2 linked regions of the Canis lupus familiaris genome follow. The protein of the gene in region 1 purifies or fractionates together with the protein of each later gene. This does not show direct contact. Links are inferred from orthologs where the notes say so. Each region holds a gene or a part of one and is shown on either strand. Other genes may lie near its edges.

Region 1 (4,169 bases):
TTAAAGATAAAATTTTAAAACCCAACTTTTTTTTTTAAAGATTTTATTTATTTATTCATGAGAGACAGAGAGAAAGAGAGAGAGAGAGAGAGAGAGAGAGAGAAAGGCAGAGACACAGGTAGAGGGAAAAGCAGGATCCATGCAGGGAGCCTGATGTGGGTGGGACTCAATCCCAGGACCCCAGGACCACGCCCTGAGCCAAAGGCAGATGCTCAACCGCTGAGCCACCCAGGCGTTCCAAAACACAACTTTTAACAATGTACTGACTCAAAATAGTTCTTACTTCAAGTTCCTTTATCTTAAATCATAAAAAAAAAAAAAGACAAAAGGATGTTTTAATTTCCTGAAGGTGTTCAAGAGATTCCTCATTCTTATGAAAGGCACTCAGGTCAGGACATTGTCCTGCTCAACTGCACTCCTATGAGGCACCTGGTGAAATGCAGAAGAACCATGGCTGTGGGGGTGACGGGGAGCCATGTGAGGAGTACAAGCTATGCTTGGGATGACAGGAAAGTCTGGTGGTGATGACTGAGGAACAATGTGAATGCAGAGAAGTACATACAGAAGGAGAAATTTAAAAATGGTTAAAACGGTAAATTTTGTTAGGTATTTTTTACCACAATTTAAAAAATTACCTAGTCTAACCCCCTCACTATACAAAGGAGGACAGAGTTTCAAATGGGTCACACGACATGTCCAAGTTCACAAAGCTTCTCAAAAATGAATTTCTAATTCTACTTCCACAAACAATACTGCCTCTCAATTCTTTGTGGGGTACAGTGGAAAACAGGACCTACTGCTAGAGACACAGTGACTAAGAAAAGATGAGTGACAATCACAAGATTAACTGTACAGAAAAAATAACATAATTATAATCAGACTTAATCAGCTTTCATTATATGCATTTTTGTATTTGCCTTTTCCTAGATCATTTTATGTCGCTTTTTCTCCTCTTCCCTTTTTTCCAATGTACTTTTTTCTTTTTAAGATTTATTTATTTATTCATGCGAGACAGACAGAGAGAGAGAGAGAGACAGAGAGAGAGAGGCAGAGACACAGGCAGAGGGAAGAGCAGGCTCAATGCAGGGAGCCTGACCTGAGACCCGATCCCGGTCTGCAAGATCACACCCTGGGCTGAAGGGGGCACTAAACCGCCGAGCTACCCGGGCTGCTCTTTCATGTTATTTTACACACCTTTGTAATCCTTACAATTTCTTTAAGGCAAAAGGGGAACCCTACAGATAAAACATATGGCCATAATTGTAAATGAATATCAATAAATTAAATTAGGGGCACCTGGGTGGCTCAGTCAGTTAAGTATCTGACTGTGATCAGGTCACGATCTCGGGGTCCTGAGATCCAGCTCCACATCAAGTCTGCTTGTCCCCGCCCCATCTAGTGCTCTCTCTCTCAAATAAATAAATCTTAAAAATAAATAAATTAAATTATATCCTGAATACACAGCTTACAAAAGAAAAGAGAATACTAAAACATTTTTATCAAAATAAAAATTCAGTGTATTTTTTTCAGTTTTTATCTTAAAGAATAACCTCCACACCCAATGTGGGGTTCAAACTCACAACCCCGAGAGCAAGAGTCACAATCTCCTCCGACTGAGCCAGCCAGATGCCCCAGATTTGGTGTTTTAAAAGACCAAGTCCCCACAGGCATAAAAGCATCTTTGCTACACAGAGATGTAAACATGAACCCTGCAAGCAGACCTACTTTTGGAAAGCAGTTTTGTGTGGAAATACCTTTCAAAGCAATTACCTGGGAAACCACTTGGCGTGCTCCACCCATGGGTCATCTCCAGACTCCCAACACCGCAGTCCACCGTCACAGCAAAAGCATTTGACATCATCATTGCGACCTAAAGAAAACAAGACTGAACTGAAATACATGTTCTGATATGTTCAACAAAGCGAACCTGATAAATCATACACTACACCTTAGTTTCTTACCCACGTAATAGAATCCAGCACTTGCGAGCTGCTCAGGCCGCACGGGGACACTAGATGGCCAGTACACGAAAGTTCTCAACCGGGCCGCATGGGTCTGCATGCTCAAATTTGAAATGCTAAATCTCAGGGTCTCCAGAGAATTTTCCAAAAACGGGCAGTTGGGGAAATGTCTCCGGTGTTCGGACATCGCGTCATCCTTTGGTTCCCAGTTACTCAGGGTCCCACCGCAGGCAAAGCAGGCCACCTTATCTCCAGGTCCTATATAATAAAAGCCTGCCCTTGCCAAGTCTGACGGGGACAGAAAGGTTAGCGGCCACATGTGATAAGTAAGAAATCTGGCTTCCTCGGTGCTCATGGCGTAACTGTAGGGGTTAGTGCTCAGTGGGGAGAAGTCTTCACCTGCTCTGGAACTCACAGGGTTTGCTGCGAGGTTGGAATGAGAACCACTAAATGAGCCATGTTCCAAAGTGGGAGATATCGAATGTGTAAAACTGTTTCTCATTGCAGAAATGTTCTTAGAGGTGGAATCCCGGCTGGTGAGAGAAACCAGACTGTGAATAAAACTACAGCTTGGATAGAGCTGTTTATGCTTTTCAACAGGATTGTCTCCAGGCTTCCAGTTGTCCAGCATCAGGCCACAGCAGAAGCATTTGACCTTGTCATTCACACCCGTGTAATAGAAGCCTGCGCGGGCCAGGCTCCTCTCTGAGACGGGAACACCCGCCGGGAATGTGGAGTATGTAGACATTCTATAGAGTTCACACGAAAAGTCATATTTTATTTTTTGTTTGTTGCCAATTGTCTGGTTTCGTAAGATGGTGCTATCCTCCATTGTCCTCTTAATCCTCTGATATGAACCTGGGACAAGTCTTTGGGAAGTAGTTTTGTGCATGAGTGATGTTACTTTTTGATGGCTAAAAACCTTCACATGAAACTTCTATCTTCACAAAAAATTAGTTTTTATCATATAAAAGAATCAAATGACAGGCTCCTACTTCTGTAAAACTCACTACACCTTCTTTATGGGATTTATGCCAGAGTTTACACTGAGGTGAGATAATACCTGGAATCCAGGATATTAAATTACCAGGATACTACTTAGCACTATTTCAGATTAACTCTTATGTAACAAGTGCTAACTGCTCATTATTTGGTGTAATATCAACATAAAGACCTGAGAAGATATTGGCACACTTACGGAAATATGTTAAAACTGCCTGATTCTTCAGAAGGTTGATGTTCCCAAAATTCTAAATAAGGTACCTAAATTATACCGTTAATATGTTTTTAGTTACAAGTTCCAAAACCTGTTTATTAAGCCAATCACAATTATGCTTCGAGTGGGAAAAAGTATACACAGGTCTCTTCCAAGCACCTCAATATATTTTTAAAACTCTTGGCTTTATTCCAGCAAACAAGAATTAAACTCTTCATATGGTCACAATATCTAAAGGCTAATTTCACATAGGTTATCACCACAGTATTTATGTGAGGGTATCAACACTCACCAGCTTTCCAGACCTAACCTTGCCTGTTTTAGCATGTATGATGTCATATGAATTTTGCTTAAAGCTAACTGCTAACTCTTCCACCTTTGTCTGTACTTGTTTCCATTTCCTACAGCATGACGATTTGTTTCTTCCTCACTCTGCATATCAACTACACTTGGTCAACTGAAGGTATTTTCTCCATCAACTACTTAACCATAAAATTTCCACAACAGGAACTTTAACACTGCATTTAAAAATCAAACAACCTATCTTTCACTTAAAAAATCATGTTTCTATAACATCATTCATTTTGTAAAGATTAATCAACTTATCAAGACACAGCTTACTCTTTCTGGTGTTATCTAGTGTTATCACACACGTATAACAATATATTATAAACCTGTCTCTACACAATGGACCAGTAATTAATCCTACTAGCGCCTTCCTTATGAAAACCCTTGATCCTTTATAATTCATACACAAAATTACACTCCATAAAATTCAAGCTATATCCCTTTAGAAAGCTTCTGGTTCTCCATAACGGGGTTTATTTCTGCCGAGGAAAGAAATCAGAGGGGAAAAAGTGGACTCTTCAAAGTGGACCCTCTGTTAATCTGAAAAGAGAAAAACAAAAGCTGTTTTAGAAAACTGTATTTTCACAGTAAAGAGAACTCACACTTCCAAGTGTTCACTACAGTCTAAAAATGCTCTACCGTTT
Region 2 (4,156 bases), on another chromosome or scaffold:
GCCAAGATCACATCACCTGGCCGTAGACCAGCCCTATGGTGAAAGACAGACAGAAAGAGAAAGGAGGGGATAGACAGCCCGGTTCAAGGGCACATGCATACGTCACCCATCCCCACCTCACAATGCAGTCTCTTCCTCACCGATGTGCAGGGGAGTCCAGGATGACCTTATGGATGAGTACACCATGCTGAACATCAGGAAAGCTTGGTTCTCGAAGCTGTAGTTCAGCAAGGATGCTAAAAGGACACAGATCACTCTGTTAACAGCACCAAGGCACTCTCCCCATCTTGGGTTCACCTCAAATCTCTCATCAACACACCGACAACTGCATGGACAAGGGCATGCACTAGATACTCCGGATACAAAGGCAATTCACTTTCTGCCTTTTCAAAGTTAGGAAGTGGGACATGTGTATAAAAGGTAACTCATTCCAAGTGATACATCATATTAAATCAATAGCACTAATGTCATTCTAGAATTCTAAGAGAAACTTTGAGAGAGTAGAACATAAGCTGAGCATAAAATGGTTCTGGTATTTAACTATATAAAACAAGAGCAATATAAATAAAACCATAGGAGTAGGAAATCCAGGTCAGCTGGAACAGAATATATTCTTGTAAGAAGCCAGATCTAAAAGGTTAAATTGGAGACAAATGGAAAATGGCCTCTAAGCACCGGGCTAATGGATTGAAGTTTTTAAACCAAAGCAGTAACAGGATGAAATCAATCTGGTAGCAGGTGTACAAGAGGGATTGGAGTGAGAAAGTCAAGATCATGAGAATAGCTCTTCTGATAGCTCCTAGTGTGGGGCAACTTATCTTAGATAAAGATAAAACTGAGAACAAAGCCCAACAGAAGTGCCACTTGCCCACCACTGAATATACTGGTGGTCCTACAGGTCACTACCCCCAAAGCTCGTACCTGGGAGTCAGGGTCAGCATCATCACTCCAATGTAGCGGCGCTGGGACCCACTGATTCCAAACCAGGAATCTGTGATAGAGGGACAAATGAGCCCCACCCAGTTACATCCTTCCTTCCCCTCCCTTTCCTCCCAGTAGACAACCCCTCTCCAGTAAAGCACAATGAATGCCCTTCCCACCACTCAAAGTAATTTCTTCCCCCCTAAGCCAGGCTCACTCTTCTTTTCCCCACGATGCAGAAACTCTCGAAGGCGATCAGAAGGGATGGCAAAGGAGATTCCAGCTGTGACCTTCATGGTATTCACTCCAATCACCTCCCCATCCTGCAGGAACAGAGCCCACTAATCCCTAGCCCAGAAACATAGTAGGAGGAGGGGATACCTGAACAAGAGTAGCAGGGAGAATGAGGGAGCAGGCTGGGGAGACCTGGTTGGATTTTGGGAGATAGCCAACAGGAGGCTGCTTAGAAACTTGACCAAACATCGTTGAATTAGAGGAAGCACACCCATTCTCACACTGACCTGGGGCAGGGATTCTTGGAAAGAAGGATGTCCCACTCACCAGGTTAACCAGTGGACCTCCAGAGTTTCCAAACTGCAGGACAAGGAGAAAATATGGAAGAGATCCAGGAACTCTATGCCTGGAGGCATGACCAGGATGTAGGCACTTTTTCCAAATTCTCTCCTTTCCCAGCCCAACCTGAGTGGCCACATATTTGCAGCCCAACCTCTGTATACAGGCTCATCCGCCATCTATCAACAGTTGGTGCCTGTACCACACAGCCTTTCCCCCAACCCCCAACCTAGTTTGTCATTTCTCTTATATCAGAACGCACATCAATAGCTGCATCAGTCTGGATGTATTCCACATTGGTTTGGGGGAGGCCCAGGTCTCTGGCTGGACGCTGAGCAGAGCTGACAATGCCAGAAGTGATCGTGTTCTGCAGTGCAAAGGGACTTCCCATGGCAACAACAAACTCCCCTTGCCGGACATCAGCTGAGCGTCCCAGGGGTAGTGTGGGGAGAGGCTCCTGAGAGAGAATGGGTATAAGAGACCTGTCATCTGAAGATGTGAGCAAATTCACAGCCCCAACCAGACCCAGCCTGCTCAGCCCCCACCTTAGTCTGAATCCTTAGCGTCGCAATGTCTGCCACAGGATCCACAGCTGTGACCACGGCCTCATATGTGTCGCCGCTGAGCAGCCTCACACGGACCCGGCGCCGATCTGCCACCACATGAGCGTTGGTTACGATGAGCCCGTCGGCAGCCACCACGAATCCTGAGCCATTCGAGATAGGGACTTCGCGGCCGGAGAAAGGGTGCCTGGAGGGGTGGGGGTGAGAAGCAAGGATGCAGGGAGGCTCACACCCCGGCTCCTCCGCCCTCTAGCCCGCGGCTTGGTGCCTCCTGCCTTCCCCACCGTTACCGGCCCAAGATCTCGATATAAACCACGGCAGGTGCTGTCTTCTCCACCACGTCTGCGATGAAGTTGTACTGGCTCCGGGGAGAGCTGGGCGGCGAGCCAAGGACCGAGGCGAGGACCGCTGGGGGACCCCGACCCCCGCCCCACAGTAACAACAGCACTGCCCCCCCAGCGCCCAGCGCCACCGCCAGCCATATACGCGGACGGGTTCCAGGGGTCCCTGAGCCCTCCTGGGTCCTGGGATCTGGGGTCCCTACAGCCAGCCATGCTCGGGAATCCGAAGTCCTCGACGTCAGACACGTCCGTGGTTCAGGGACCCCCACAGACCACCGGGCCCGGAGGCTGGGGGTCCCATAAGTCACTCGGGCCCGGGGGTCAGGAATTCCTGACGTCAGCAAGGCCCGGAGGTCAGGGGTCAGCAGGGGTCCCTTCCCCGAGTGAACCCCCCCCAAAGCCCGCCATCCCCGGAGGTTCCAGGCTGCACCCCGCCCCGCCCTCAGTGCAGCCATCAGCTCCGCCTCGACTGCCTCCTCGCCCGCCCTACACAGAGGCGGCGCCCTGGACGCGAGGTGGCGGACGGAGGGACGCGGGGCACGCCGGGACCTGAAGTCCTCCAGAAGTGCACGCCGGGACCCAGGATTCCGGGAGGCCGACTCCGCCCCCGCCCCAGGAATGCCGGGAATTGTGGTCCCCGCGGGACGCGAGTTCCTAGGTGGCCCAAGGGCCGCGAGGCATGCTGGGACCGCTAGCCCTTCCGGGGCGCCTCAAGATTTCGGGTGCCCGCACCCTGGGCGGATGCCCGAAGACTCCGCCTTCCCAGGAGCCCCTGCGGCCGGGCGCGAAGATGGCGGCGGCGGCCGGAGAGCTCTAAAGCCCCCGCGATGGATCCTTCCCCGGCGCTGGGGCCGGAGCGGCTCTTCGACTCTCACCGGTAAGAGCCCTGGCGGGAAGAGGCCGGCTCCCGCGTGCACTCGGCCTCCGGCGCCCGATCACCCCGCCTTTCGCCCCCAGGCTCCCGGGTGACGGCTTCCTGCTCCTCGCGCTGCTGCTCTATGCTCCCGTCGGGTTCTGCCTCCTTGTCCTGCGCCTCTTTCTTGGGATCCACGTCTTCCTGGTCAGCTGCGCTCTACCGGACAGTGTCCTTCGCAGGTAACGGCCTGGGGGTCCCGGGGAGGGCTGGGCTGGGCCCGGCCGGAGGCCGTGGAGTCACCACTGCCCGCGTCCCCAGGTTCGTGGTGCGGACCATGTGTGCGGTGCTGGGGCTCGTGGCCCGGCAGGAGAACTCCGGACTCCGGGATCACCGCGTCAGGGTCCTCATTTCCAACCACGTGACACCTTTCGACCATAACATAGTCAACTTGCTCACCAGCTGTAGCACCGTGAGTGGGGGGCAAAGCCGAGAGCTCTACGGGGCGGTTCCCTGGGGCCCAGCTGGAGGCTCCCCTTAGCCCGCCCGGGTTTCCCTTGGGGACCACTGGGAAATACTGAGGCTTACCCCCAATCCCGCTTCTGTACCCTAGATGTCAGTTTTTCTCACTTCCCAATATTCTTTTCTTGCTTTCTCTCTTCTCTATTCCCAGCCTCTACTCAATAGTCCCCCAAGTTTTGTGTGCTGGTCTCGGGGCTTCATGGAGATGGATGGGCGGGGGGAGTTGGTGGAGTCACTCAAGAGATTCTGTGCTTCCACGAGGCTTCCCCCCACCCCTCTGCTGCTATTCCCTGAGGAAGAGGCCACCAATGGCCGGGAGGGGCTCCTGCGCTTCAGGTGGGTGAGCACAGGTATCGGTCTCCAGCTGGGTAGGTGGTCAGGCT

Evidence for each region. Proteins that work in one complex are often made in the same cells at the same time.
Region 2: the proteins of BIRC2 (region 1) and HTRA2 purify together in Homo sapiens (affinity purification with mass spectrometry; 4 studies listed by BioGRID and IntAct, counting the BioPlex papers as one, with this or other methods). This does not show direct contact. The link is inferred for Canis lupus familiaris from reciprocal best matches to the Homo sapiens genes BIRC2 and HTRA2.

What each region holds. Positions count from the first base shown.
Region 1 is NC_049226.1:29,451,276-29,455,444, forward strand, and holds the start of BIRC2 (baculoviral IAP repeat-containing protein 2), read right to left. Parts: upstream 2,802-4,169; 5' UTR 2,794-2,801; coding exon 1,962-2,793; intron 1,871-1,961; coding exon 1,771-1,870; intron 1-1,770. Other genes in the region: proline-rich protein 2-like, read left to right, coding at 3,586-3,640. UniProt on the Homo sapiens protein: Multi-functional protein which regulates not only caspases and apoptosis, but also modulates inflammatory signaling and immunity, mitogenic kinase signaling, and cell proliferation, as well as cell invasion and metastasis.
Region 2 is NC_049238.1:49,111,567-49,115,722, forward strand, and holds the start of HTRA2 (serine protease HTRA2, mitochondrial), read right to left. Parts: upstream 2,857-4,156; 5' UTR 2,854-2,856; coding exon 2,348-2,853; intron 2,245-2,347; coding exon 2,040-2,244; intron 1,952-2,039; coding exon 1,757-1,951; intron 1,516-1,756; coding exon 1,483-1,515; intron 1,245-1,482; coding exon 1,139-1,244; intron 992-1,138; coding exon 922-991; intron 237-921; coding exon 141-236; intron 34-140; coding exon 1-33.